Canis lupus familiaris: one gene and its partners. The protein of the gene in region 1 interacts with the protein of each later gene in a pairwise test. Links are inferred from orthologs where the notes say so. Each region holds a gene or a part of one and is shown on either strand. Other genes may lie near its edges.

What was found.
Region 2: the proteins of MED4 (region 1) and AMOT interact in binary tests that used the Homo sapiens proteins (3 or more experiments, as listed by UniProt). The two-hybrid records come from large-scale screens. The link is inferred for Canis lupus familiaris from reciprocal best matches to the Homo sapiens genes MED4 and AMOT.
Region 3: the proteins of MED4 (region 1) and TXLNA interact in binary tests that used the Homo sapiens proteins (3 or more experiments, as listed by UniProt). The two-hybrid records come from large-scale screens. The link is inferred for Canis lupus familiaris from reciprocal best matches to the Homo sapiens genes MED4 and TXLNA.
Region 4: the proteins of MED4 (region 1) and KIFC3 interact in binary tests that used the Homo sapiens proteins (3 or more experiments, as listed by UniProt). The two-hybrid records come from large-scale screens. The link is inferred for Canis lupus familiaris from reciprocal best matches to the Homo sapiens genes MED4 and KIFC3.
Region 5: the proteins of MED4 (region 1) and TNFAIP8 interact in binary tests that used the Homo sapiens proteins (3 or more experiments, as listed by UniProt). The two-hybrid records come from large-scale screens. The link is inferred for Canis lupus familiaris from reciprocal best matches to the Homo sapiens genes MED4 and TNFAIP8.

Annotation. Positions count from the first base shown.
Region 1 is NC_049243.1:3,361,120-3,367,503, reverse strand, and holds the start of MED4 (mediator of RNA polymerase II transcription subunit 4), read right to left. Parts: upstream 4,222-6,384; 5' UTR 4,194-4,221; coding exon 4,069-4,193; intron 1,597-4,068; coding exon 1,530-1,596; intron 1-1,529. UniProt on the Homo sapiens protein: Component of the Mediator complex, a coactivator involved in the regulated transcription of nearly all RNA polymerase II-dependent genes.
Region 2 is NC_049260.1:86,470,433-86,476,869, forward strand, and holds the start of AMOT (angiomotin), read right to left. Parts: upstream 3,685-6,437; 5' UTR 3,266-3,684; intron 1-3,265.
Region 3 is NC_049223.1:68,412,787-68,418,703, forward strand, and holds part of TXLNA (alpha-taxilin), read right to left. Parts: intron 4,484-5,917; coding exon 4,392-4,483; intron 2,097-4,391; coding exon 1,926-2,096; intron 91-1,925; coding exon 1-90. UniProt on the Homo sapiens protein: May be involved in intracellular vesicle traffic and potentially in calcium-dependent exocytosis in neuroendocrine cells.
Region 4 is NC_049223.1:57,968,224-57,974,582, forward strand, and holds the start of KIFC3 (kinesin-like protein KIFC3), read left to right. Parts: upstream 1-2,696; 5' UTR 2,697-2,711; coding exon 2,712-2,877; intron 2,878-2,926; exon of another isoform or gene 2,927-2,984; intron 2,985-3,561; exon of another isoform or gene 3,562-3,680; intron 3,681-5,789; coding exon 5,790-5,932; intron 5,933-6,359. UniProt on the Homo sapiens protein: Minus-end microtubule-dependent motor protein. Involved in apically targeted transport. Required for zonula adherens maintenance.
Region 5 is NC_049232.1:8,953,102-8,958,680, reverse strand, and holds the end of TNFAIP8 (tumor necrosis factor alpha-induced protein 8), read right to left. Parts: intron 3,123-5,579; coding exon 2,557-3,122; 3' UTR 1,475-2,556; downstream 1-1,474. UniProt on the Homo sapiens protein: Acts as a negative mediator of apoptosis and may play a role in tumor progression.

The DNA of each region.
Region 1 (6,384 bases):
ACCTGTGATGTCATGCATACTATTGTTTTATGATGAAGATGGTTTAAAAAAGAGCAATTTCCAAAAATAAATTTTCATATGGGCACATCCAAACTAATATTTAGTACTTTCGTTGAAAATTATACAGGAATTCACAACACTAAGTATAAAGTTTAATTCTTTCCCTGGGTAGTGACGATGACAATTATCCATTACTGAGCTCTCCTTATTTGTACTTAACATGCAGTATCGTAAATCCTCACAACAACTTTATGTGACAAGGTACTGTTATTTTTTAGGGACAGAACTGCTAGTCCTTAAAAAGTATAAGAAAAGTTAGTGCTGACCAGGCAGGTCTTGGTTATGACCTATTGAATAATCTGTGTGCCTGGGAAGTAAAGTCAAAACCTGTATTTCATTTTGTAGTAAGTACTTACTTAATTTTACATGTATTTATCAATAAAGTATCTGAGACTGGCATTCCTCTATTAGCATTTTTCTCTATAAGCTTTTCCTAAAAACAAACAACATACTAAAAACAACTTTAATCTCCCCCAAAGTCCCAGCTTTTACTACTTGTAGCGTATCTAATTCCCCGTCTCCACCTGAAGGGATTAATCGTTGAAGAAAACAAGTTTTATGATACTTCTCTATTATCAGTCAATTGAATTTCTCTGCCCTCAAAACATATCATAAAATAAAACTAAGATAATAATAGGGCAGAGAGGAGGGAGAAGAGATCTATGAGATGTCTCCTGTTACTAAAAAGGTTAATCTTTCCCAGCTGTTTTCTTTTAAAAAAACTTTTTTTTTTTTTTTTTAAATTACAGTAGAAAACACATAAAATGACATTTGCCCTCTTAACTTTAAAAAGTTTTTGGATCATTCCTGGGTGGCTTAGTGGCTGAGTGTCTGCCTTCAGCTCAGGCTGTGATCCCGGGGTCCTGGGATCGAGTCCCACATCGGGCTCCCCACAGAGGACCTACTTCTCCCTCTGCCTGTGTCTCTCATGAGTAAATAAATAATACAAATTAATTAATTTAAAAAAGGTTTTGGATCAGAAAAAAAAATCTGCTCACCGTAGAAAATTACAAAGCACAGAAAGGAATAAAGAAAATAAAAACATGTAAATTTAACCTCCACAAAATAACTTCTGTTAACAGTTGTATGCTCTTTAATTTCTATTACTTCTCAAGTTGCATTAGGGGAACCAGGTCTATATAATAAAAGGTAGTTTATGACAGCATTAACTTTTTTTATTTCAAATATTGTTTTAACCTCCATTTAACAAGTTTATTAGTTGGTTAATTCAAAAGACAAAAACGAATAAATGTGTAACTAGAAGAAAAAACAATACTGCTAAACCTTTAGACTTTTTTCTTCTCAAGCAGTGTTACCCTATGTAAGTGATTCGAAGTATCAATTTAAAAATTGTAATCTATAATTTAACAGAATCCAATCTTCCTGTTCTCACACAAAGTAAATGTAAATAGGGAAATTGCACAAATAATGGGGATTTCTTGTTTGTAATATAAAAAGAAACCACTTACCTGGTTTTCCTCATCAGGCGGCAACAACTTTTGGTTTCTTGAAATTGCCAGCATTTCTATAAGTTCTCTAAAAAAGAAAAACAAAAACATCTTTGCAAAATACAACAGAAGCTTTATTAACTGATCTCTACCTAACTGACTTGCTAGATTCATGGCACCCACAGCATGCTGAGTATTCAGAGCCCCTGCCCAGTGACCGTGCGCTTGGGCTCTCATCAGCTAAGCGGTACTCTCTCACCAAGACTCAGTTATGTCTGTTACCAGATCCAGTTATGCAAGTTTTACTTTACTAGTATAGTTAAATATATTAAATATCCATTTCATAAATACCAACGAAATATGACTGTCAACAGAAAAGAGTAATTTCCATAAAAACCTAAACTGAATACTTGGGAAAGACTCAACAGCTGCCTGCAAAGAACTGCAAAGTCATGAAAATTCAGCAAGTCTACCCTAAGACTGCTTGATAAGCATTTAAGTTTATTTACTTTTTTTTTTTTTAAAGTAATCTCTATGCCCAAGGTGGGGCTCAAATTCACAACCCATAGATCAAGTCGCATACTCTACTGCCTGAGCCAGTCAGGCACCCCTCATTTCACTTTAACGAAACACACTAGAAATTGGTGGACAAGGCATTATGGGTGGTTTATGCAAGAAAACCCCCTAAATTAAGGAGTAGATGAATCATTTTTTAAATGATTTTCTATGTGAACTGAAATTTTTAATTAACCAAACAGGTATCAACTAAGGGATTCTAATGTATAATAAAGTCCTATCTTTCTGGAATGCTTATTTACTAGACATGCCAATTTTCCTTTATGAAAACTAGTATAAAGAGGAGTATAAAATATGTATCAGGTAATATCCTGATACACTAGTTTCAAACTTGCTGACAGATGGGACTCCAGAAATTATGCAAGAGGTACAGATGCACAATTAGCAACAGGACACCACCAGTCAGCCCCAGTAAAGCCTGTACCTTCTCACTGGCCGCCAGACTATTTTCACCTTCATATTTCCATCTTCCTTACTGCCAGCCTCAAACTATTTTTCTGGATGGTGCCAACTGGACCCAACCTTCCCCACTTTGAGGTTCTCATACCATTATGCATGCACTAGCTAGCTAATTAATGAATAAAGTGGATATGGCAATGGAAAGTCTTCATTCACCCACTGATTAAACATTTAAGTTTCCACTGTGTGCCAGGCACTTTCTGGATGCCTAGCTTATGAAAGTGAACAAAGGAATTTAAATTATAATACAGAAGAGAAAAACCAAGAAAGCAGGTAAATCAAACCAGAGTTAGAAGAAGGGCTGGGAAGAAACTGAAGCAGTGTTAGAGTGTGTCAGTGAGTTGTCTGGCCACTCACACTGGTGGAGTCAGGGAGGGCTTCTATAAGTGAGAAAAGCCGGGTTCAGGGGCCCAAAGATGGGTTTGAGGAAGGGTGGCCAGGACACAGCAGTCAGTACCGAGGAGCAGGATACACAATGAGGACGGGTCTGGAGGGCAGGCGGGCCAGGCTGTGTGAGGGCCTCACAGGTCATGGTAAAGAATCAGCATTTCATTCCAGGTACAATGGAAAGCGACTGGATCATTTTAACTTTTTTAAAAAGATTTTTTTATTTTGAGAGAGAAAAAAAAAATGAAGGAGGGGGAGGCAGAGGAAGGAGCGGATTCAGGGCTCAATCCAGGACCCTGCACCCACCTGAGCCCAAGGTGGACGCCCCACTGACTGAGCAACCCAGGCGCCCCACTGATGCATCATTTTAAATGGAAATGACATGACCTGATTTATGTTTTTAAGCAATTGCTAAGCTACCTGGAAAATGGATTTTAAGAGGAGTAGAATGGAAATCAAGTTAAGTGGCTTCTGTAGACAAAGGATGGCATCTGCTTTGACTAGGTCCTAGCCGCTGGGACACAGTCATGGAAATAGGTGACAGCTATCTCTGAGTGCCGGGGTCCGGGGTGTCCCTGCAGGTCACCGAGCGCCCCCCAGGTCCCCCCTCCCCCATCACCGAGTGTCAGGTCCCGGAGTGTCCCTGCAGGTACCGAGCGCCCCCCCAGATCCCCAGTCCCCCCATCTCCGAGTGTCAGGTCCCGGGTGTCCCTGCAGGTACCGAGCGCCCTCCCAGGTCCCCCCTCCCCCCATCTCCCAGTGCCGGGGTCCCGGGGTGTCCCTGCAGGTCACTGAGCGCTCCCCCAGGTCCCCCCTCCCCCATCACCGAGTGTCAGGTCCCGGAGTGTCCCTGCAGGTACCGAGCGCCCCCCCACGTCCCCCCTCCCCCATCTCCCAGTGTCAGGTCCCGGGTGTCCCTGCAGGTCACCGAGCGCCCCCCCAGGTCCCCCCTCCCCCCATCTCCCAGTGTCAGGGTCCCGGGGTCACCGCCGCTATCAAGCGTCCCCCGGGGGCTGTGCGGGGGGAAGAGGCCGCGTCCGGGTCTCGTGGGGCTGCGACCTCGAGGCCACGACCCCGCCGCGGTCTCCGGAGCGCCGCCTCCCCGACTCCAGCCAGGCCGCCCGCCCGACGCCCCTACCTCGACAAGACCTCCAGGTCCTCCAGCGCAGACAGCAGCCGCTCCCGCGTGCTGTTCCCGCCCGCCGCGCCCGCGCCGCCCCCCGGCCGCTCCTTCTCCTTCTCCCCACCCGAGGCCGCCGCCATGCTGCTCGCGGGCCGGAAGCCGGAGACTGCGCAGACCCCGGCGCGCGGAGGCGGGCTCCGGAAGCGGAAGTGAGGGCCACCGAGGCGGGGCGGGGGGGGCGCGGAGCAGAGGCGGGGCCGCAGCGCCCCCTACGTGCCTGGCGGTGCACTGCGGGCGGCGGCGCTGTGCAGCCCTGGGAGCAGGCTCGGGGCGCTCAGGGCTCAAGCACCAATGGGAGGGGTTTTAAGCCTGTCGGGAAATTTGCATAACAACTTACATCTTGTATCAGTTTCTTTTTTCTTTTTTTAGGATTTTATTTACAGAGGGAGAAGCAGGCTGCCTGCAGGGAGCCCGATGTGGGACTCGAACCCGTGACCCGGGGTCACGACCTGGGCCGGAGGCAGGTGCTCCACCGCTGAGCTCCCCAGATGCCCCCTTCTATCAGTTTCTTTGTGAGATGGGCTGGTCTCAGTATTAACCGTCTTTAGTGTGCATCCCTACAGTGCTAGCCCCACCCTCCTGTTTGGCCTCTCCTAGGGGTTGTAAGCACCATAGGACAAGAGCCATCATCTGCCTCTTTTTCTTTATGGTTGTAAAACACACATAACCTAAAACGGACCGTGTTAACCATGGCTAAGTGTAGGGTCAGGGGCCTTAAGCATAGTCATGTGGTTATGCTACTTTCACCATCATCCATTACCTCTTTCCATCTTGCAGAACTGGGACTGTGTCCACTGAACAACAAGTCCCCCTTCCTTCCTGCCCCAGCCCCTGACAGCCACCGTTCTACCCTCTGTCTCCAAATTTTGACTACTCTAGGGACCTCATATAAATGAAATCATACAATATTCGTCTTTTGGGGACTGTGTCATTTGACTTAGTGTAATGTCTCCACTCCCATCCCTGTGTTAGCACGTGTCAGAATTTCCCTCCTTTTTAAGGCCGGACAATATTCCCTAACGTATAGCCATCGCATTGTGCTTATCCATTCATTCATCCGCACACATTGGGGTTGCTTCTACGGCTTCACAATCCATCTTTATAACCATCTATCTCCCAACAAAGTGTTTTGCTCACTGATCAAGATGCCTGTTGGAAGTGAATGAGTAAATATAGCAGGTAAGAGGTAGTGTATGAAAATGGTTTAAATAATCAATACAACACAGATTCCAAATGAAAGCCCAAACTCCGCCTCAACTCACTTTTCCTGGAGAGAGCAATGTAGTTGGAAACTCTCCCTATCAGGAAAACCCAAAGTTGCAACAGTACTGGGGATGCGGGTTCTGTATGGGGCCAAGCTGTGATTTTCAAAGATGAGATGGAGAGATGTCACCTACAGACAACAGCTTGGAGTGTCTCCTTCATTCTGTCATCCTGACCTCTGGCCTGTTCTCTTGGAGGTGCTTAGCCTGCTTCCTGCTGGGTACCCAGACTTGAGGATTTCCTCAGGGACTCATGCGAAAACAAAACAAAACCATTCATAGCAACTGCTATACAATCCAGAATGCTGATTTATTCATTTACAATAAAAAATATTAGTGCCAAGCACAATTTTCCTTGTGGACAAACTTATACAGGAAGACCAATTATCATCAGAATGTGGCTTGGTAAACCTGGATTATAACAAATGAATATAGATTTTTAAAAAAAAAATGCAACCATCAGGATTTTTTTTTTTTTTTTTTTTAACCATCAGGATTTGTATCCACATAGCATACGGATGTTTGTAGTAAAGAGATTGGAATATCTGTGTCCCCAGACCATGCAAGAGACCTGAGGACACCTTTTGTTTTCCAACCATTCCCTACTTCTGCTCTTGGCTAAACCCTTCTCTAAATATGGTCCATTCTCAGACAATGGAATACATTAGATTTAAGCTTCCTAATGACCCTTGTATTCCAAGCATACCTGCCAGCAGCTCTGGTCAGTGATTTCTTAAGTTTCTGAGGGGCTCAACTGTAGTCTGTGTTGGTTTTCTTCTCATAGGTTCATCTTGGGCATGATTCTGGTGCAGGGAGTGGGGAGATCCTATTAGTGTAGCTTCCACATACAATCAGTTAAAACCCTAATCACTTAAAAATGACCAATTATAGGTCCTACTTTGCAGGCATGGAGGGTTAGTAGATGGACAGTATATGTGTCTTGTGAATGCCAGACCTCTTCAGATTCATCACAAAGTCATATGCGTATTGAACGTTGTCCATAGACTGA
Region 2 (6,437 bases), on another chromosome or scaffold:
TTACAACAAAATTCTAATGTCTTCCTTTATGCAATAAAGATGTTTCTGAGAAGACCCAGTCATAGTGAATTTTTATATTATCAAGTCATAGCTCAAAGGCACTAACTAGGAAAGCTAGTTCTTTCAATGAAACTTGCAGTGGGTTCTCTTATAAAGCAGATGACCTCTTATTTTCCTTTTCCTTTTTTTTTTTTAGTTCAGATTTTGTGTGCTGTGTGTGGAAAGGGCAACTTCCCTCCTTTCTCTGGGTTAAAAGGGGTCAGAAGCCCACCGTGGAGGAGAGCAGTGCAGGATGTACAGCCTGTTTCATACCCTCCTAGTTCCTGGGACCAAGTTCTAACCTTTGACTTGGGGGTGGGACCCTAGATTTTGGACCGAAGTCCACAAAAGGCAGCAAGGAACGAAAAAGTAAGAAAGACTAAAGACAACTCATCATAGAAAACCACCAACAAAAATTCCTGGGGACAGGAAATCAATAGAGCACAATTCTGAACAAATTGGTTTAGTCCCAAGCTAATTAACCTGTCAAGCAGATCTCCAAACCCACTGAATCCATGGAGGAAAGAGGTGATGTAATAGGAGATTTGGGAACATTTACCCACTTACCATCCTAAAAGGCTGGGCCACGACCACACACACCTCTCTCCACCCCTTTCAGTGGGTTTTAGCTGCACTTAATGGGTGCAAAGGACAATTTCTTCCAGATAGTCCCTAAGAATAGACTGTTCTCATGCATTCCAAATGCTCAGTCTCCATGGAGGAGGCTACCTGGCCACAAGCATTTCCCAAGAAGGAATATATCCTCTACCTCTCCTCACTGGTAACATTCCCTCCACCCCAACAAAACAAAACAACTTCTAACCAGCCCAAGAACTTCGGGGGACTCTTTGGGGGAAAAAAGGAAAAGAAACCTTAAGAGGGGACTAGGAGAGTGTGAGAAACTCCTCTTGTCTCCAAATGGAAAAAAGGCCTTAAAAAGCTGGATCAAAGGAAGAAAGGGGGATGGGGGAGACAGGCTGCTTAATTACAAAGACACCCTTTTAAAGAAGGCACAGGCCCTGGGAGAGAGCTCTTAGGAGAGGCACAGAAGCAGATGTACCCACTTAGAATTCTGGCACTCAATGGGACCTCAAGGTCATAGCATCCATCCCTCTGCGCTCTGAATAGACTGTTCTTAAGGGCATTCTAGAAACAGTGTAATTCACTCTTTATAAAGCCTCAGAAAAAGCAACTCCACAAAGTGCCTTGGGTTTGCATCTGTCTAATAATTCCTATCTCACAAACCAGAAATGACCTTCCAATCTCCAAATCCAAAATAGCATTGAACGCGAATTTTAAAATTTCCTTCTAGAATCTGTTACGTAGGTAAACAGATCCACCACTTTCACCCTAAAAGTGACTCTACAACAAGCATGGTCAGAGATTTACTGCCTATCTAGACTATGAAGTTAGGAAAAGCACTTTCAATTTTACAGAGCCACAGAGTTTTCCAAAGAAAGAAGGATCTTAAAATGAAGTATGATGTAGTGCCAGAAAGTGTCTGTAAATGACACCGGATAAACCCATACAGAATAACTGGAACCTGAGTTATCATCTGTAAATAGACGCAACTACTCTACAACCACCTGGCTATTAAAATGTCCCAGGCCAGTTATAAAATGTAGTTTGGTCAGGCCAACTTTTCCCTCCCAGCTGATCTGAAAGACGATAGCCTTTAAAATTGTCGCCCTGTAACATTCTTTCTCTCCCTTCCTGCTTTGCTTTCCCCCCCGTTAAAATCAACCAACACAACTATTTAAAAATAAAGTGAATGATTTGTTCCCAAACAAGCAATGGGTTGGTGACATCTTGGTAACAGGTCTCTAAATACCACCACCCTTCTAAGTTTGCCACGCTTGCCTGACTGGAGAGAGGTGGGGGGAGATGGGTGAAAATTTATCCTGCATCCAAAATGCTATTTCAAAGTATTGTTAGCTCCTAAATGAAGGTGCTGAAAGGTCTAACCAAGAAAGCTTCACAAAGGCTGGCCCACGAAAGGACTTTTCACAAAACCTAGTTCAAGGAGACTTAAATAACCTTAGCCCTCCATTATTGGAGACTATGGTGACTAATTATCTTCCTCTCTGAATGGAAAAAGGTTATATTCAAAAAAGTTTTTTTTTAATTTTTTTATTTATTTATGATAGTCACACACACAGAGAGAGAAAGAGGGGCAGAGACACAGGCAGAGGGAGAAGCAGGCTCCATGCACCGGGAGCCCAACATGGGACTCGATCCTGGGTCTCCAGGATCGCGCCCTGGGCCAAAGGCAGGCGCTAAACCACTGCGCCACCCAGGGATCCCAAAAAAAGTTTTAAACGCCTCCCAACTTCTACTCTTAACGTAAGGGTGGCAAACGGAAGGAGGAAGGAGAGCTACATTAGACATAACTACGATTCTTTCTAAAACACATGCTAGAGATTGCTAATGCTGTTTCTCACAAACGCCCCCTTTCCTCTCTCATTTAATTGTATCTAGTCCCTTGCTGCAGATGATTATTAAACTACTATTAGTGGCAATTTACCAGACTACAAAGACTGTCACTTTCCCTCTCATTTTTCTTTGTTTTCATATATTGATCGATCCATCCTGCTGCTAACGCACCAATGTACAGTGACCTGGGCTTGGGACCCTCAAGACACCTGCATGATCCTGCAGAAGTCCTTACTAACATCTCTAAAGCAGATACTGGGCAATCCAGTCCTCACCACCATACACGTACACACACACACACACACAGACTAAAAGGAGTGTAGCATGGTAGATTACTCCCAGACTTTAGGACTTCAAGAATTCACAGCCCCCGGCGGAGGGCAGTGTGGGCCCCCACCCCAACTCTAAGCATTTAGGGAGGAACGCATCTTGCAATCTGAGATAAGCGCACACATTCCTCCTTAGTAAATGTAGACCTGAAGTTCCCTCATTCCTTTTTGTGCTTAATCACCTAGGGACCTACAAGGGTCCCAGGAGCAAGGAAGTAAAAGTACCATCAAGTAGTGGTACCCACTAGCATCTCCGTAGGACGGGAGAGGAGCGCACACTCTTTAACCGATTTAAGTTGCTGCTCATCCTGGAAAACTCAACGGCCAGCTGCAAAGAAAGTAGAACACACGGGCATCACCACACACATCTAGATCAACTCACTCACGCCGAGGGCACGATCAAGTTCATGCCACCATGGATTCCTGCCCCAGTTCCCCGCGTAAAGTAACCATGCTTCTCCTACCCCTGAAGGCACCGAAGACAAGGTGACGACTCTCTGCTCGCTCAAGTGGCTTCGGTCCCGGGCCGGAGGCCAGGGATGGGCAGGGGGAAGCCCCAACTCCGGCTGCTCCGCTCCTCACTGCTCCGTCCGGGCTCTCCTTGGTGGCAGTGGACAGGCAGGATACCGGGCCAGAGGGTGGAGCAGCAGATGGTCGGACGCAAGACAGGCTGGAGGTGGGGGCTGGAGGGGGCGGTGAGAACTAAGAGAGGATAAGGCAGAACAGAGAGGAGATGGAGGAATAATAAATCAGGGGGTCTACCAGCTTGGGCAGCCAGAAAGCTCCTCGGAAGGAAGGGGCGTGACTGCGATGAAGGCAGCTCCTGGGCAAAGGATGGGAGGTAGGGGAGGAGGACGAATGGGTGGCTTTTCTTCTTGCGGTGCGCGGCTAGGACCGCCCAGGAGCGGGGGGGAGGAGTGGGAGGGGGTGGACTGGAGAGTGGGGCGGAGTAGAGGGCGGGGAATGAAGGAAGGGAGCCGTCCAGGACCCTGGAGGGGCGGGGGGCGGAAGAGAGGCGGGGCCAGGGGGCGGGGAAGTTTCAAACAATTGAACGGCGGGGTCGAGCCACTCCAGCGAATGCGAAGGGTCCTAGTTCTCGTCCACCCGCTAACGTGGCTCAACGCGCTGACTGGGTCCTGAGAGGCTACGGAAGCGCTGGCTGGGGGGAAAGAAAGGGTTCTGCAAAGACTCCAACAATAATCTACGACACCAGCGGAGGGGAGGTGCGTGGGAGAGCCCGTGCAGCCCCCCGCCCCACAGCGGGAGGAAGAAACACAAATAGAAATGCTGAAAAGCAGCTTCTCGCAAAGCTTGCTCAAAATAATGCAGGAAGGAGCAGCGCTCCTCTGTTTTCCTTCCCTTCTTGCTTCCTATGACCAGCAGGCCCCCACCCAGGTCGCAGCTTTGCGCGACACCCTTCTTTCTTCCTCTGCTGCCGGTAGCCTCCCCGTTCCCACCCCACCCCCGCATGCCCGCCCCCCTTCCCTTTGGCGGGCCGCGTTGGCAGCGGGGACGGTGTGGGCGGGGCTCCGCGGAGTCTCCGCCTCCGGGGCGGTCTGGGAGGGCCGGCCTGGGAGGGGCGGGCGGTGAAGAGTTAAGTCTCACCCGGCGTTCTTTCGCTGCTCCGGATTGGCGAATCCCCGTCCAGGATTCGGTCGGGATTGGTCACTTGCGTCGTCGGTCCGATCTTTTTGTCCCACCCTCTCTCAAAATTAATAAAACTGAACAAGAGACTATTGTCTCGCTCTCCATCTCCCCCCCACCCCCCCGGCTACTGCTGAGCAGAGAAAGAAGAGACGCTAGGTTTCTCGGTCTCCCGAGAGAGTGCGACAGTGTGTCGTCGGCTGGCTCCCGTACACCTTTGTGGCAAGGTCTGGCCCGCTATTCCCAAATAGGTAGCTTTTCTTTCCCCTTAATTCATGAGGCCCGGAGGGGCAAGAAGTACGTCAAGTATCACTGTGGTGTTCACGTTTCCCGGCTGCGAAAAACTGATCCTGCCTGAGAGCACAGACAGTTAAGAACAGCATCCTGGGACACTGAAAATCTACCATTTTTACATCTGGGAAACAAAAGCCCAAAGGAACACTGTAGGGGTAGCAGAATGACACGGAACTTGGAAGGGAGGAACTCACTTTGGACTGTAGCACTTAACAGCCAGTTGTGCAACTTTTTTGAGTCGCTTGACTTTCCCGAGCCTTAATCTTTCTATCTGTAAATAAAAGCTGTAGGACATACCCTATTAACAACATTGGCATATGAAAATAAAATGAAATGTGTGTGAAAACTGCAAACCACAGAGCACTCCACACATGTATGTCTTCCTCCTTGTATATGTCCCATGGTGAACAGTCTTGAATGTGTCCAGGAAAATCAAATGTTCTGCTCATCTGTTTTAAGCATCTACATCCAAGGTGTGTAGGCTTTGTGACTTTATTTTTAAAAGTGAATTCTTTTCCTACACTTTTGAGGGTGGATATGAAGTCAGATCCCCACAATTAAAATAATAAATTATCCCTTTCCTAACCAGGGTGGGTGAGATTTCTCTTTTAAACAGTTCTGCAGTGGCGCCAGGACCTAAATCTATTGTCGTGCTGGTACTGAAAGAGGAAATCATGCTGTGTATCTCCGAAGTGAGCTTGTGAAAACAAACATGAGGGAACACTTACCATGAAAATCACCATTCTCTGCAGATCCATATTTCCTAGAAAACGTTACAAGATGAAAATGAGTCTAGTTGTAAAGGTCTTGACAATGCAGAGCTATTATGATGAACTCATGCCTGTGAAAAAAAACGACTTCCAATTCAAGCCTGCCCAAAGGGAGCCTCCTGAGAGGCCATGGATCACAGCACATAAGAGGAAATGTGCACAAAGGAAACACTACCTGACTGTGAACGGGGTCCTAGAATATAACGGGGTCCAGGAAGAGTAATAGGCTCCTGGCATGCGGTGGGGTAGCCTGGATGTGCAGGGTGCTCAAAGATTCAGAAGCAGGAACATGGGCAAGATGGATTCTTGGTATAATTCAGGAGATGGGTGAGGTGAAGTTATTTGGGTGATTTTTAATGGGGAAAGTAAGATTTTGAGTGTTAAAGACATGGAGGCACCTGGCTTGTGAGGCAAGGGAAGATTATTCCAGCCTTATTTGGAAGAGTGGATGGCAGAGACAGGGCGGGGGTATATGCTGCAGACTCCTACTGATCATAGTGGCAGCAGGGGGATACTTGTTAAAATAAACAATGCTGGAAAAATGGAAAAAGTTCTATATGCACATGATAAAATCAATCCTGTACCTTAAGGGGTAAAGAGTTCTTCTCGACCACTCTGTTCTTATAGTCCCTTTCTCCCCTTCTCTCTGCCGGTGTGTAATCTTCAAAATATATTATTGACATAGAGATGTTCCATTTTTGCTCCTTATAAGTGGGATCATCAGTCACAGCACCCCTTGGATTTCTTTACTCAACATTTCTTAATATCCTTCCATCTCAGTATAACTTCCTTTACTTAGTTCTTTTTCATGAGAGCTCAATGTTCCATTGCACAAATGTGCCAAGATTCTTTTATGTGTCCCCCTATTGAGAGGACACTGAGGCTAGTTCCCATCTTTTGCCATTACGGAAAAGGCTGGGAAGCAAAT
Region 3 (5,917 bases), on another chromosome or scaffold:
CAGCTGAATGTCATTCAGTGTCACCTGGAAGTGGGAGGTCACCTCCTTGCGCTTCTCCTCTTCCTCCCGGGCCCGCTGCACGCCTTCTTCCTGGGCAGAGAAGTCAGCCCTGGCTCCATCAGCTGCTCTTCCCCAGCCCACAATGCTCTATACCCACAACCCTCTCTACTCTCAGTGAGCAGCACCAGCCAGGCTCCAAGATGCCATGCCAATGGGGGTTCCCAGGGGACCCCTCTACCCTTCTATCAGGTGACAGCAAGGGAGATATTCTCTCCCTAGAAGAATGCAGGCATACACCTAAGTGTCATTCTAGAGCAATCTAGGTCTCCTGAAGTCCATTCTTCCAGACTCAGGCTAAGCAGTCTTGTTTTGTGCTTTCATTTCTCACCTCTCACCAACTAGTTAAAATTTAGTAGTTCCCAGGGTTGGCAAGATTGTGCAGAATTAGGCACGAGGACAATATTGGTGGGGAGGTAATCTGGCAAAGTCTATTAAAACTTATATAACGTGCATGCTCTTTGACCCAGATCTTTAACTTCTGAGGTTTATCCTAGGGACAAACTAGATACACTTACCCAAGAATATATATAACAAGAACTTTCACTGTAGCTCTACGTATGAAGTACTGTAAACTTAAAAACAACTCAGCAATTCCTTAACTAGGGCACTGACAAAATACAGAATACGCATACAACAACGCTATTGAAAAGAATGATGGGTCTGCCTTTGGCTCAGGTCATGATCCCAGGGTCCTGGGATCGAGTCCCCCATCGGGCTCCCTACAAGGAGCCTGCTTCTCCCTATGCCTATATCACTACCTCTCTCTGGGTCTCTCTCATGAATAAATAGGTAAAATCTCAGGGGGAAAAAAAAAAGAATGAGACAGCCTCAAAAAAAAAAAAAAAAAAAAAAAAAGGAAAAGTGAGCTATACATGTTAGGTGAGAGGACAGAACAGGATGTGAAACAATACACATGACCTCTCCATTTAAAGAACCCTATAGAAAATTACATATGGATGCAGGAAGTCTGAAGGCTGTACTTAAACTTATGGGTAAGTAGGTGTACTTCCCAGTGGTTTCTCCTGGACACTGGGGCTGAGGAGGGTGAGCAACTGTTACCTTTGAATCTCATACTTTTGTCACCTCTGAATCTCTCATATCAAGTTTATATTACAGTAAAAATGTTGTCAAAGACAAACTAAAAATGAACAAAACAAGCTGGAAAACACTATATATTCACTGACCCAAATTTGTAACAAATATATAAAGGATACATATATAAAAACCACCCAGAGGTCACAGCAGTGACTGGGCTTTACCAGACGGACCCTGCCTGAGGAGAAGCAGGACAAAGAAAAAAGACCCAGCATTTCAGACTGCTTAAGTCTGGGAGAGGAGCTGTCCACCAGCGCTGGAACCTGACTTACCTGCAGACTGCCAGTGAACTGAACAATATCAAAGACCTGCCTCCTGGGCTCCCTCACCATACCTGACACAGGGACAGGTCAAGTGGTTACAGGCAGCTATCCCTAAGGCAGGGCGTTACTGGGGAAATCAATTTCTCTGCCAAAATCCCATGCTACCTTTTTTTTTTTTTAAAGATTTTATTTATTTATTTATTTATTTATTTATTTATTTATTCATTCATTCATTCATTCATTCATTCATTCATTCATTTATTTATTTATGATAGGCAGAGAAAGAAAGAGAGAGAGGCAAAGACACAGGCAGAGGGAGAAGCAGGCTCCATGCACTAGGAGCCCAACGTGGGATTTGATCCCGGGTCTCCAGGATCACGCCCTGGGCCAAAGGCAGGCGCTAAACTGCTGCACCACCCAGGGATCCCTCCGTGCTACTTTTTAAGGGGAAAGCCCACCAAGGAAAAGTGGAAGTCAAGGGAACCAGAGTCGTAGGGGCCAGCCCACCTTGAGGGAGCGGTTGTGGCGTTGGAGCTCCCGGCACAGGCTTTCTAGCTTACTGCGGGCCAGGACAGCCTTGCTGTGCTCCCCACGCAGGTGGTCCTTCTCCTGCACCAGCTGGCTCTGTTTCTTCTGCAGCAGCTTCATCTGCTTCTGGGAGTTCCGATGCTCCTCCAGCTGTGGAGCAGGAAGGCAAGTAAGTGCCTAGTCGGGCTTTTCCCAAGGGACCCCGGCCCTCTCCCGACTCCAGTTGTTAACAGTTCTGGCTGGACACTGTGTGGGTGCTTAATGTACTTCTCCGATAAACCCAAGGGCTCCATCTCCAGTATACAGAAACAGGCACTTACGACAAGCAGGGATTCAGAGGCTGCAGACCCCAGCCTCTCCCCACTCTAACTCTAGAGATGAAGTTCTCAAGACTCTCAGACCATTACATTCCTTCAACCTTTGTGACACTCATGTCCTCAGATGACACCCCTTACCACTCCTCCTTGTATTCAATAGACCCCCGTCACTCCCTCTTCACTGCTCTGAAACTTAGCGCCACTTCACTCAACATGACTGCTGTTATCATTTTGGCCTTTTCATTATGGACAGATCTTAACCTTCTCAGACCCTGTCTTTTCCCCACATCAGCTACCCTCCCATGAGCCTAGTCAACGCTGATACAGTGCAACTCTATGTAATGACAACTGTTCAAGTCATTGAACATTATTTTTTCTTCCCCTTTCCTTAGGTGTTTGAAACCTAAGTTGTATCTTACACTTAGAGCACATCCAAATCTAGACTAGCCACATTTCAGTTGGCTAATGGTTACTGTCCTGGACATCAGATCCAGATTTTGTCATTACCCAGAAGCACACACCCCTCCATTATCTCATCCCAGGGCAGGACCACTATCCCCTACCATTCTAGCTCATTCCATCCAAAATTTGTGGCCCCAGAAAGTCTACCATACTGGACCTCCAACCCAGTGACCCAACTATCCTTTCACTTTCCTTGAATGTGTCTTTAAATAATCACTGACCTTCTTATACTTGTCTTAAGACTTCTTACACTCAACTCTCTTGCCCCCTTTTCCTATCAAAACCCCAACCCTGATATCCCAACCTCTGATTCCTCTGCACAGGCACTGAAGCAGAAGAACCTCTTTTAATTCCTAACTACCCATTTGAGGAAGACCCTCGTCTGCCATGCGGCCTAACCATATTCCTTATGTTAGTCACACTCCTCTTCCAGAGAACTATTTCATCCTCCTCCTTCTCAGCTCTCCTTTGGCCCAGCAAAAAATATCTTTCTCATTTCCCTGAGAATGGAAGCAACCAGAGGCACAGGGGCATAAGTTCCACCTCTGCCCATCCACCTGCACCGGCCTTTTCCTCTGGTTACCAGGATCCAGTGGTGCTTCCCAACACAGCCAGCCTTCTCCTTATGCTCTGGCCCTTAGCTCCTTCTCTACTTGAGAACATCACTCAGCTCCTGCTCTCTTCATCAATCTTTCCCTGGATGGCTCATTCTGAAGGGGTGGTATCTTTTTCATATCCTATCCTTTATTTAATCATTATAGCAACCCCACAAGGCAGGTGTGATTTTTCCCAATTTTACAAATGAGAAAAACTTCTTAGAGAATTCTAGCTAATAAATGAAAATGGAGTGAAAGAACTTAAAAACAAGTAGTTAGGAAATGACCCACAGTGGATTAATCCATTTATACAAATTCTGATGGCAACCTGACAAGGGAGGAACCTGGCTGGCCCCACCTGAACTCAGTGGACAATCTTCCATCAGTAAAAGTGGGAGGAACACACTTTCTCTACAGAGTACCACTTATGTAGAGTTCTTATCAAAATAGTTGAACTTGGATTGGATCAAGCTTCTAGAGTTAATTTCCCCTATATCTACAGGAACTAAGGAGGTAAAGGAAGAAGTTAAATGTCACCACAAAAGCGAAGAAGTGAGGCACAGGGCGATTGATCTGCAGTAAATCAATGTCATGAGAAAAAGGTTGGCAGTAAATGAAGACTATTTTGGAATAAAAGGAAAAAAAGTTGTAAGGACCTAAAGTATTAGATGGATCTCCTGTAGACCCTGATTTGATCAAACTGACATTTTAAACAAATGGGGAAATATGCGTATTAGAGTATCACATCAGTGTTAGTTTAAATGTGAGGATGGCACTGTGCATTTTTTGGGGAGATGCACACTGAGGCACACAGGTGTGAGATGACATGGTATGTGGGACTGGGGCCAGGAGCTATGGTTTTACCACTGTAATATGAAGGGTTTCTTCTTACAGTCAACATGGAAGGGGCCAGCTGGGACTTGACTCTCCACTTAACAGATGGAGAAAAGGCTGAGAGAGGCTGAATAGGAATTAAGCCACCCACCTGCCCCGGCACCCTCAACCCCATGCCAGGTGGCCTGCTGACTTTCCAAGGCAGGGCGGATGCAAGAAGAAGGGGGAGAACTGACCAGTTCAGCATACTTCTTGCACAGAGCTGCCAGCTTCTCCTCTGGGGTGCTCAGGGTGTTCAATGTCTGCATCAGCAACGTGATCTCCTTCCCTGCAAAGCACAGGGATCAAAATCATGTACCCCCTTCTCTGGGGATTTCCCCAGGCCTCGGCCCACACTCTCAGGCCTTGAGGCAGCCCTACATTATCATATTTGATACTGTTTGTTGACCTGGCTGTCATCCCATTAGACCGTGTGGTTCATGAGGGTTACCACCAACTGAACTCAGCCTATTACTGTGGCCCCAGTGCTGCTCCATATTGTCTTTGGTGCCCATCTCAGACGACATGCTCAACAAATGCTTAATAGACTAATAACTGAGTCTATGTGGAGACTCCATGGTGAACACTGAGAGTGGGAGAAAAAACCTGCCTGCTCTAATAGCAGGAGGAAAAAAAAAGACATCCCAATGGCCAATTTAAGTGCTACTGTGTCAATGCAAGGAAAGCCCTTTCGAAAGAGGAAGGAGGCAAAAAGGAATAGGTTTCCTCGGTAACTACTAAACATTTGTCAACAGTGGTAGCCAAAGAGTGAACTTTATTTGTTCCCTCCTAAACAGTGAACTTTTAAACAAATATATCTTCCGATATGTGATCCCAAGATTAATAAACAACAGGGATGCCTGGGTGGCTTAGCAGCTCAGCAGCTGAGCGTCTGCCTTTGGCTCAGGGAGTGATCCTGGAGTCCCCTGGATCGAGTCCCGCATCGGGCTCCCTGCATGGTGCCTGCTTCTCCCTCTGCCTGTGTCTCTGCCTCTCTCTCTGTGTTTCTCATGAGTAAATAAATAAAATCTTAAAAAACAAAACAAAATAAAACCAAAAACAAACAAAAAAAACCCTTTCCATTAGGATGACAAACAGAGGGTGGGGAATTAAGGACTAAGACACAGGTATAATATCACTTAACTCTGATTCTTTAACATACACACTAGTCCCCTGCCCCCAATAACTTTCTCTCACTGTGCTTCAGTCAAAGGGGCTTCCTTCTGTCTCCCTGGAGGGCTCCTGTACATAGCACAGCACCAGGCTCCTGAAGTGTCAAACCCAAGAGGCTCGAAAGATCAGTGTGGAGACTGCAAAGCACTAGCACGTAGGCCAAAACCCACACGAGTTTTGTTTGGCTCCCAGCATATTAGTTGTCAATTGTTTTTTTTTTTTTTTTCTTCAGTTGCCAATTGTTAAAAATCCAGAGAGATTTCACTTAACTGCATAATAACAAAGGGGAAAAAAGGAGAAAAAAGAATGAGGGGGGGAAAAAAAAAAAAAGGCTGGCTACACTTAGCCTGTAGTATTATATGCTATCAGCATGGTGGGACCAGATGGCAATCACCCCTTTGGATGAAGTAGGCAATGTCTTGTCCTCCTAGGGTCCCCTGTCTAACTTGGCTTATTTGTGTTTTCAACCCTGGGCTAGTCCAAATCTTACTGTAGAGAAACGAAAACTAAGGAACAGAAAGGAGAAAGGTCTTGCCCAAGTTTACAGAGC
Region 4 (6,359 bases), on another chromosome or scaffold:
GATAATGAGGCACAGAGAGGCAAAGTAATTTTCCCAAGGTCACACTCCAGTAAGTGGCAGAGCTGGGTCTGCCAGCTTTTGGTTATAGCCACTCCACTACATGTCCCCTTTGTCCCACCCCGTGAGTCCTATGTTGGTAGAAGCCTCAGCCTTGGACTTATTTGAGTCCTGAATACTTTTGACTTTCCCACCCTCCTGGCTACTAAATTCAGCTGCTTTTTCCTCTTCAGGATCTTGCACACACCCTTCCTCTTTCTTCCTGCTATCTTCCTGGCTGCCTCTCCGACTTCCCTTCCAGAAAGCCGCAGGAGTATTGTCTCCTCCGGTCCCTGTCTCTCGGACTTAGCTGATCTCCTTAACAGTCTTCTCCCTCAAATGTGGAATCCACCTTTAATGCCCATCTCACTTTTCCAGGAGCTTGGTATGCAGGTGGAACCTGGTTCTCTCCCTCTTTGCCCCGTTAGGCCAGCTGGTCTTTGGGGTTGGCATGTGTCCAGCTCTGTGTCAAGCAACCTGGAGAAAAGGGCATCTGGCTGTTCCCCCAGCCTCCCTCTGTTCCACACTGGTCCATCTTCGTTCCTCAGTGGAGCTGGCCCTCGTATTTGGATTAGCTTTCTCCTCGTCCTTTGGCCCACAGTCCAGTAGCACTGTACCCAGAAGTGTCCTCTGAGCTGTCTTCCTCAGTCAGGGAAGGCAGAGAGCACGACTCCCTAGCCAGTAAGCCTGGCATCCATCCAGGGCTCAGCTCCGTGAACTTTGGTCACCAGATCTTCTGCTACCCATCCCTGCACTCTGACTTCTTTTGCCTCTCCATGCTTCAATCATTCCTGGCCCTGTCGACCCAGCAAGCTCAGATCTCTCCTATTCTACACACCACATCCTCTCAATTCAGCCTCCCCTCCTTATCCTGGCCAAACTTCCCCACAGAGAAGGAAGCATTGGCTTCCTTTCACCCTACCCACCTCTTGGGCCTACTCAGCTCTCTCCTCTGCCCGGCTCCATTAATGTGCTCGCTCCCTTTCAGAGCCTCCAGGACTTTCTTCTAGTTTGACCTCTCCACGGCATTGTTCACTGGGAACTGACCATCCTCTCCTTCCTACTTGCCATCCAGTCAGAGGTGCAGAGGACTCTGCACCTGCCTAGTGTTGTTGCCACCTATGACTGTCCTCCCAACGTTCCTTACCACCCAGAGTGAGCTCTATCCTTGGTTACTTTTGGTGATTATATCCTTGTCTGTGGCATTGGGACCCTCCCCGCTCTGAGTCTCCAGACCTGTTCTTTTCCAAGCTTCAGTTCTTTTCCAAGCGTTCAGGGAACGCTTATTTCAGGGCATTCACCTATCAAGGCATTGCCAGGGGTTTGGTGTGGGTGTTGTTCCAGCTCCAGGCTGGTTGGTATAGGGCTGCACAGATGAATGTGCACGCACACGCACCTGCCATGGAGAGCCATAGAGAGTCGGGGGGATTGGACACTGTTCGAATAGGTAATCTCTACTGTCTGGTGGAAAGCAATCTGCAACCCAGGTAGCACCATTAGGAAGTTCTTGGGTGCCTCAAAGTCCATTTTAAAGCCAAAAGCAAATTCCACATTGCCTCTCTGAGCTGACTTGGCTGCTTCTGTTAATAGCATCACTGTCTGAGTCTGGGACTGTAGCTTGGTACTTAAATGCCCTCACAGCTGCTTTACACATGATAGGTGTTCAATAAAGATGTGTGTAAGGAATACTTAAAGTCTGTTCTCTTCATCTGCTCAGTTCATGAGAAACCTACGCAGCTTGCTTTCTTTCTTTCTTTTTTTAAATATTTGTTTCATTATTTTAGAGAGCACAAGCAAGAGGGGCAGAGGGAGAGGGAAAGAGAATCTCAAGCAGGCTCTGTGCTGAGCATAGGGCCCCATGCGGGGTTTGGTCTCATGACCCTGAGATCATGACACAACCAAGAGTCAGAGGCTTAACCCACCACACGAGGCAGGGGTGTTCTATCCAGGCCGGTGCTCCCCACCCCCAACTTCATTCTCCCATACCACCTGGTGCCTCCCTGCATCCTGTTCTGATTGTGAAGGTTTGTTGAAGTGCTTACCTCCCTCCTGACAGGGAGCTTTGAGGCCCTATCTCTCCTGATCAAAGAGGACCCCTGGCAGGTGCCTGGCACAAAATAGACACTGGATAAATAATTATTAAATGAAGAAGCAATGAATCTTTGTATCTTACTGCCTGCCAAGTTGTAGGCACAGAGTGAAGGCTAGTTGAATAGAATGAGTGGACTTTAAGAGAATTTGATCTATATAAGCCACTGTGTCACTGGCCACAGTCAGGCCCCGTCTGATTAGAGTTGCTGTCGACCTGTGCGTCCTGTGTGTGGGGCTGTGACCTGGCGCATCTTCAGGCTGCCAGGCTTCCAGCCGAGGGGCTGAGATGGGAGGTCTCCGCAGGGTGCAGCTGACACACCGGGTGGTCTCTTCACCCACTTCTGAGCTTCCCTACTTGGGAAAAAGCCCCCTGAAATGGTGAGGGGCTGTGTTGGATCGCGCAAGGCCAAGGATCGCTGCGGGGGGGGGCGGGGGGCTGCCGCTGCGGGTATAGTGACCCTGTTGCAGGCGGCGGGCTCCCTCCGAGCTGCCACCCAGGTGTCGTCGGTCGCCGGCTCAGCCTCGCCTCCCCGTTCTGTCCGCAGGCCGCCCGGCGCCCCGAGGAGGCCGCTGAGCCCCGGGCCATGGTCCCGTCTCGCCGGCCGTGGAACCTGGGAGCCACGCCCTCGCTGCGCGGCCTGTGGAGAGTGGGCCGGGCCCGCGCGCCCGAGCCGGGGATGGCTCGCCCCGCCCCCGCCGGCCCGGCCGCCCGCCCTTTCCCATACACCGGCCCGGGGAGGTTGAGAACTGGTGAGTCCGCATTTTTAAAATGCCTCTTTATTTCCCTTCCTTCCTCCAGATAGCAGCGATGGGGCCGGGCTCTCTCGCAAGTTCCTAGGCTCGGTCAGGGCTGTCAGGTAATTACAGGGTGCCGGCAGCCCGCGGGCCGGCCGAGTGGGAGTCGGGGCGCCAATCTCGCCGGCGCTCCTGCCCGGCGCTCCTGCCCGGCGTCCTGCCCGGCGTCCTGCCCGGCGTCCTGCCCGGTGCTCCTGCCCCGCGACCTGCCCCGCGTCCTGCCCGGTGCTCCTGCCCCGCGACCTGCCCCGCGCTCCTGCCCCGCGTCCTGCCCGGTGCTCCTGCCCCGCGCTCCTGCCCCGCGCTCCTGCCCGGCGTCCTGCCCCGCGCTCCTGCCCGGCGTCCTGCCCCGCGACCTGCCCGGCGTCCTGCCCCGCGACCTGCCCGGCGTCCTGCCCCGCGCTCCTGCCCCGCGCTTCTGCCCCGAGTCCTGCCCCGCGACCTGCCCGGCGTCCCGCCCCGCGCTCCTGCCCGGCGTCCTGCCCCGCGCTCTTGCCCCGCGCTCCTGCCCCGCGCTCCTGCCCGGCGTCCTGCCCCGCGCTCTTGCCCCGCGCTCCTGCCCCGCGCTCCTGCCTGGCGTCCTGCCCCGCGCTCTTGCCCCGCGCTCCTGCCCCGCGCTCCTGCTGGTGGAGAGACGTCCCGGGCGCCGAGTTAGACCCCGGCGCGGCCGCCGAGCGGGGGGCGGGCGGGGGCGCGTCCTTGGTCCCCCGCCCAGCTCGCAGTCTCGCTCCGGTTTGTGCCCGCAGCTGGTAAACAAGGTAGGTGAAGTGGCTGCCCCGGTGCCCCGTGCGGCGCGGACACCTGATCGCGGCGGGTCAGACCGCTGGGGGCGCGAGGAGGAGCCGCGGCGCCGGCAGAGTGTGGGTGCCCTGAGCCGGGTTTCAGGTGCTATGTGGGGCGGCTCCCGCAGGGTGGCCCACAGCAGGTGGGGGCAGTGAAGGAGCCCACCTGGGATGCTGTCAACACCAGCTCTCCTTTCTGGGTCGCGTCCCCTGGTGCCTCACAGGCCAATAAGTGAGCGGCACCTCTGATTTGCCTGTGGGCTGGGTTGTCGTTGGGTCTGGGCAGTTGCCCCACGACTGCCTCCTGAGGTGAGCTTGGGCAAATCTATCTGGAAGTGTGGAGGGAGAGAGGGTCTTCAGTCCAGATGTCATCAGACGCTTGCTGTCTGTTGTTCCTGACCTAGAGAAAGAGGTTTAGATTACCAGCCTGTCTGAGCTAGCAGAGTTCCTCTGGCTATCAGATCCAAGCCCCCCTGGTACACAGAAGGGGAAACTGAGGCCTAGAAAGGGTACACAGCAGACTCCTGTTCCGTCTCCTCTCCCACCACATTTGTGCCACTGGTGGGCACCAGAGTGATACCCTCCAAAGTGTCTCTGCAGGGGACAGTGAGGCTGGGGATGGCACTGGGGGCCTCTGGGAAAAGCATAGGCTTTTGGGTCAGGTAGCCTGAGTCATCTGGAGGGGGATGAAGACGGTCTCTACTCCACATGGTTGTCCTAAGGATTACATATGTAATATGAATGAGTATTACTTTTCTGGTTAAACAAAAAAAACAAGACAAAGAAAAAAAAAACAAGCAGAAGACAAAATATGTTCCCTTGGAAAACTAGAAAAAATAAAAAAATAAAACCCAGAAAAGTATAAAAAAGAAAATAAAAATCACCTATAAGCTTGTTAGTGAACATCTTATGTAGTTCCTTCCGATCTTGTATATGTGGGCATGCATATTGGTCTATTAAATGAGTATCATGAAGATTATATGACCATACAGGCTTATCTGCTTTTAAAATTTAAGACAAAGGTCAAATGAAATCGTGTGAAATGCTAAGCAGAGTGCCTAACAGTGAGTAGGGCTTCAGCCAGCTTGTCACTCCTAGCCCCTCAGCCCCCACCCCGACTCTTGCCTCTGTCTTGGGAGGTATAGGCAGAGGGTGAGTTAGCCCATGGGATTGCAGGACTGGCTCAGTGTGACCCTGGGCACGGTTTTAACCCTCCCCGGTCGTGGTCCTAATGGCCTGCACTTATGGCCAGTTTCTGTGTGCCTGGTGGAGAGTGAGCATTTTAGGTGTGTCATTCCATGTAACCCTCAGCACAGTACTATGAGCTTGGTTCCTTATCCCCATGTTATTGATAAAGGAAACTGAGGAACAGGCAGGGCAGTAAGCACTTGGCCGGCTGCTGGCACTCAGGATACTGTCACACCCCCATGAGGCTGTACTCATTCCCATCCCATGCTACCCTGCAGGCTGTGGTGGGGGTTGAAGTGGGTGCATGGGATGTCCATACCATGATCACCTCTCTCCCCTGTCCAGTGAGGGAGGCAGTGGGTCAGAGGCTCGAGGGGATGCACTTTAGCTGGTGCTGAATATGCTTTTGGAGGCTGCTGGGACCAGGCCACCCAGCATGGCGTTGGTCTTTATGAAGTCAGGGGAGAAATTGCCACCTAGAGGCGGCCTTGGTAATAAAGCCACAGCCCTGGGGTGCTCCTCCTGTGAAGTTTAGTGCAGCCAGGTTGGCATCGGCTTCCCTTTGCTACTCTCTGGAGAGGGAGTTCATGAGCAAGTGTCAGCCCAAAAGCCACTGTGGAGGGTGGGGAACACATGTACCCCAGAAGCTTCCGGTGCCTTCCCAAAGGGAAGCTCGGGGTGGCTTTTGGGAAGAAGGGAGCACAGCTCCTGCCTGGTGCCAGGCCTTCCCTCCGAGTAGGTCAGGCATGTGAGGGCGTGTGAGTCCCTCCTGGCCGCGCCCGGGCTGGCCCAGCATGTGGGGAAGCGGAGCTTTGCCACGGCCCTAGTCAGTGGTCCTGGCCACCAGCCTTCAGCCAGGGGCCTAGCATCTTACCTGCATTCTCTGTCCTGGAACAGGGCGTGGAAAAGACACCCCGATCAGCAGTGACGAGGACTCCGGAGCCCGAAGTGCAGCTCGCCCAGCCCTAGCTCAGTGTCGAGCCCTCAGTGTGGACTGGGCCGGCCCTGGGAGCCCCCACAGGCTCTACCTGACCGTACAGGTAAGCACTGGGGCCTTCAGAAAGGTGAGGGGCCGAGCCAGGCCGGTGCACCTTACTTAGCCCTCTGAGCTGCTGCAGCTGGGTCACTGGCAGGCTCTCTGGGGAAGGAGCACGGAGAGAGAGCCGGGGACCTGCCTTGTGCCTCTTTGCTAAGCTCCTCATGGCACATCTGCCCTGAGCCTGTGTGGATGGAGCAATTTGCTTTATTAGGTTATCTCCGGGAAAATCTCACAGGAGATGACAGAGACTTTTCAGCCACACCCTGGCTGAGGTGTTAAAGTCAGAAATGTGGGACCTTCACTGAGAGGCTATTAGGAAAACAGGTTTGGGGTAGCTGTTAATCCCCACTCACACTCAAGCATGTTTGTCCATGGGGCAATATTTGTATTTCCTATTTAATGTGGGAATCCAAAGCTAGACAGAGGGT
Region 5 (5,579 bases), on another chromosome or scaffold:
GTATGAAAATCATACCCAGATCTTTAGAGAATAGGTCAAACCTGTATGATTTAAATAGCATCTCAAATGTCACCATGTGAAAAATCATTTCAGAAGCACACTGCCCGTTGTTGTCTGAAGCAATGTTGTTTCTAGAATGGTCTTTATCTATACCATATTTATTTATTTAAAGATTATATTTATTTATTTGAGAGAGCATGATGGGGATGCAACGGGGGGGGGGGGGGGTGGGCAGAGAGGGAGAGGGAGAAGCAGACTTCCTGCTGAGCAGGAAGCCCTGTGGGGCTCAATCCCATGACCCTGAGACCATGACCTGAGCTGAAGGCAGACACTTAACCAGCCACCCAGGTGCCCCTATCCATACTACATTTAAAGAAAAATAGGGTTTTACGGATATCCTGGTTTTGACAATAGCTAGGTGATCTTGGGCAGATTCCTTAACTTCTCTCGCCTTACTTCCTTCATCTGTAAAACAGTAAAGGTCATGGTAGGGAATAAGTGAGTTAATGTGTCTGGTGACCTAATTACTACTCTGTGTCAGCTGTTAACATCAGTATTATCACTCACCTATTACATTAACTCATAATGTTTGCAGAAAGGCCATCAGCATGAAGTTTTTAAAAATTTGATTTTAAAAAATCAGCTAATAGGACTCCCTCCTTCCAGATAGTCCTCATTGCCTTCCTTTTGTGTGGGCTTAAGGGTTGCTCTCTCTCCCCTTCATGCATGTTTGATTGTTAGCCTGTAGGCACAACTGTGTGATCCAAATGTGCCCAGCTGGATCAAAATTTATCCTTACAACCCCTCTCTCTAGTTGGTCCTGTTCATAGCTAGAGAGGAGCAAGCAGTACCCACCAACTGGCTGGGGAATCCATTTTGTATACTTCTGCGGAAGGAGATCTGTTATAGAACAGAAAAGCACCAAGTCAGTAGCTCCCGCAGACCACACTCTCATGTAGGGAAAGCAGAACTGGTCAGGCCAGGCTGCTGAACTAAACTTCATAAGCAACATAGCAGACCATGAAGCTGTGCTATTGCTGCAACATAGAAGAGTCACCCATCAGCTCTGGGAGACGAAAATGGTAATTTCAGTTGGCATCTGGGGGGTCGAGGATTTTATATCAAACAAGGAGACATTCTGACTGTGCTCCTTGTCTTGGACAAGCACACAGGGACCCCGAGAAACCGACACCTCCTTTAGGCTGGAGTGGGTTAAAGCAGATCACAACCTCTGGAATTTTTAAGTTAGGACATTTCCTGGTGAGCCCTTATTGTAATATCAATCTTTTGGAGGCAGGCAAATTCAAGTACACTAAATCATAGACACAGTGACAATGCAAATATTTAGGGCTGGTAGTTAAGTCTGCTATTTCCTGATAGCTGGCTGGCAGGGGTTTTGTTTCTTTTTATAAAAGAAGATGTTTACTTTATCATTCACAAACATAAAATTACATAGAAACAACACACAAAGTACTTAGAATGCAAATATTCTTTGGTTTACTCATCAAAATTGTAAATAACAAAATAGCAAAAACCTTATCAGTTAAATAAAAAAAAGTGACATTCTTTATTCACCTATCAAACCTTATTAAACATTGAAATGCATTTATTTTCATTCTCATGTTCCACAGCAATATGCTTTTTTTCCCTTTTGGCCCATACCCCCCCCCCCCCAAATTATTTTGATGAGCTCATCTCTAAAATAAAGACAGTTGTACTTTTCTTAACATCACTGGCTTTTATAAGAATCACCTAGATTTTTCTTTGTGTCTCTTACATCCCAAACGGATACTAAAAATGGAGATCTCCCCACCAGCATATTTTCAAGAATGATCACGTTTTGGAAGTATCACTGTTGGTACTAAAAAACAGGACTCCACTCCAGAAGCATATTCATATCTTAGACATTATTTACAATGTCAGATACAGTTGGTTCCTACAATACTGATTTCAGAGAAGCAGTTTCCCGTTTTTTGACGGTTCACTTTGCCTCAATTCTTAAATGTCTTAATTCTCAATGAAGACTTAATTCTTAAATGTCTATGATAAGATCTTTAGCAAAAGAACATTTAACAAAAAGGTAGACTTGAAATTGTCTCAAAAGGAGCAACGATAGCAAAAGAAAATTCTCAGCTTTTTTTAACACAGGCACACATACATAGTAAGGAGCAAGAGTGAATCAAAGTACAAAACTCTGCACACGAGAGAAATACCCAATGTACTGACACATCAAATGACCTAAAAAACATATCTTGAGGTTTGGTGTCATCCATATCTTTCTTTGTCTAACTCCAAATTTGCATCACAACCATATACCTTTCCCGCGATCTGCTAACTGTAAGGGAGGGAGCGTTTGATCAGAATTTTTGGCAATATGCTTTTCTTCAAACAAAACAAGCTGCATAAAACGTTACAGACAATGCCTAACAACTGAACTGGGCAGAAGTCTTTCTGAAACGTGGGTAATCTTGAAAAAAATTCATTTTTTTCCTTCATAAATCAGCAGTGCTCTGTTTTCAAAGAAATCCCGAGCGCTCATAGTCTGAATTCACAGGATCATATGTTCTCCTCATCCAACATTTTGTTGACACCATCACAGAGTTTTTGTAAATGGGGTTTAAAATTTCCGAAGGGGTTATATAAGGCCGCTAAAAAATCACAATCTGAAAAATGATCAAAGACGTTATTAACTCGTCCATGTGACTTGGCAGTGAGGTGGCGCTGGATGATTTGGTGGAGCATCTCTCTGCACTCATTCAGCAGCCGGGATAACACGTTCCGGTCAAAGGTGTACTCCACCTGGTGGAAGCTGACCACGGTCATGGCAAGCTGGTGAACTTTCTTCTTAAATTTCTCCATCAGCGCCAGCTCATCTTGGTTGAACTGGTTATTCCTGTAGAGAATGGCCAGCTTGATGACTGTCTTGATGAGGTTCTTGATGATCTTCTCTGCCTCCTTCTTGTTCTGGGTGTACTCCTTGGTCACTCGGTAGAGTTCATCCAGCACTTCGCTGCTTGTGTCGTCGATGAGGGTAGTGGCGATGGATTTGGACACCATTTTCCCCAAGATCTTCTTTTGTGCCTGCACGGCCAGGTTTTTGGAATTGAAGACATCTGTGGCCACTAAAAAGAAGCAAATGAGAAAACAGATATTAAGGATTTTTTTTAAAGATGTTATTTATTTATTTATTTATTTATTTATTTATTTATTTATTTATTCATGAGAGACACAGAGAGAGAGGCAGAGACACTGCAGAGGAAGAAGCATGTTCCTCGAGGGGAGCCCGATGCGGGACTCGATCCCAGGACCTCAGGATCATGACTTGAGCTGAAGGCAGCCACCGAGATGCCCCTAAGGAGTATCTTCCTTCTCATTTTCCCACTCTGTGGTTGCCTCCCATCTACTCACATTAGTTTCTGTTCAGAAAAGTACTAAAAATTTTAACCATATTTCTGGGCATTAGGTTCTCCTTTCTGAAAAGGACAAGTCATTGTGCATAATCTTTAAGGCCTCTGGCAACTCAAATGTTGAATACCTTCTGCTATATACTCAACACTTTGTTCAGCAGTTGAAGGTGAAAACCTTCCAAAAAGATAACTTTTTCTGATTAAAAAAAACGGAACGTCTCACGAGGCAGGAAGTACTTACGCAATTTCCCCCCAGTTCAACTTTGTAAGACATACATCAAAAATACAAAATCAACTCCACAGCTGTCCTCTGGACAGCAGGCACCGAGAACAATGTAAAGAAACCCCTTTAAATATAAGAAGGATAAATAGCAAAGCCACATGGAGTCTAGTACCAAATTCATGGAAGCCAATCAAGAGGAGAACCTTGCTTTAAACTTCAGCGGCAAAAAGTCAAATTCTCTGAGATACTGGCCCGCCTCTTCCAGGTAGGTCATCTTAACCGTCCAGAATTTCAACTCCCAGAAGTTGAGTCTTAGAAAAGAATATTCCTTGGAGAGCTCATTGTCACTTGCTATTTCTGAGGAACGGCCACCGTTCGTTCCCTTGAGACATTTATACGTTATGTGGAAATAACCACTTCCATGACCTAATGAAATGTGCTACATGAATAACACACATTTAAGCTGATGCTTAAAGTTTGCTTTTGAAATTGCCATCCCTTAGTGTGACAGAGGTGTAACATACAGGTAATAACCATTGCACGTACTAAATATGAATGAAACGCTGTGTGATGCTCAGTGAAAATGCTCAATAAATGTTTACTCCCCTAGCCAAGTTTAGTTTTTCCCCTGAATTTCCCCCTACTGTTCATGCTACTCCACCAAACTGTGCTTTCTCCCTCCCCGTCTAGGTCCTGTGAGCTAGAGTTGTGCCCCCACCCTGGATCCAGGACCAGTTGTCATCTCTTGTATACTAGTCTATAAGGCCAGGCCTGGGTGTTGGAAAGCAGTCATTTAGTAATGAAAGATAGAAAGACTAAAAATACAGATAGGTAGGAATGAGGCAGGGCATTAGTGGTATACAGTTATTTCTACTTTGGACGGGCTGGCGGCAGAAAGCAAAAAAGGCAGCTGCTCCCAAATCCAGGCTGGGGGAGGGTATCTAAGAAGAGTGACCCCCTCTGCGTGGAACTGCCACGTTAGATCTGATGCGCTTGGGCCAAAGTAGCTCATGCTATATATTCCAGGTAGTACCAAGTGGTTCCTACTGACCAGAACGCCGCTCACAAATACACAGGGTCACAGCCCTAAAAGAACGCCCTCACTGAACCAGAAGCAGTGTCCTCACAAATGTCGACATTTAAGTGTCTGAAACACGAACTGAAACTGCAGAAGAAGAACTGAAATATATTTTGAGAAAGAAGAGGAAAGTGAAAAAGCATGAGAAACGGACAACTTGTTAAGGTTTCCAAACTTTTTTCATATTTTCATCAGTTACACCCACCTCTCTTCCTAAAGGTTTGCAAAAGAGTGTATGGGTTAATCGATATTAAATAGTTTGTATCAAAATAAATGGCACATGCGTAGTCAATATTATCACATTAGGTCCAGGGACCTATCTTCCATTGCAGAACTTATGATATGGACTTCAACAAATAAACCTGATTTACGTAGGAAGGGATCCTACCCACCCCCCAATTTCAGATTCACAGTAAATAACATGATTTCAGAAACTCACACAAAGTTGAAGAGTTATTCTGTGTTGAGTCTTTAGGAATGTGACAGTCTCCCAACATCCATCTAGGATTTACTACAATGTCTACTCGATGGAAACATTGTACACTATGAAATCACTGGGAAAAATCCTTCTTGCTTCTCTCTCTAAGACTGGACTTGAAAGTTTGCACCTCCTGTAAGCTACTTTGCTTATTAAACCTCAATGCCCCATTCGATTTCCAACATAAAGACAATGCCACAAAAAAATTGTTTAGTGTAGTAGTGCTTGAACCCCCCATAAGAGAAATTGTGAAAAGCAAGGCCATGGCCAAAAAAAATCGCTCCCATTTACCACTAACAAGTCTCACTCAGGACAGAGAAGCTGACTTCTGAGGCTTTCCCAGTTACCCCAGAGGAACTTCCAAGCCCAACTCTAGAAACATAGCAGCCACTT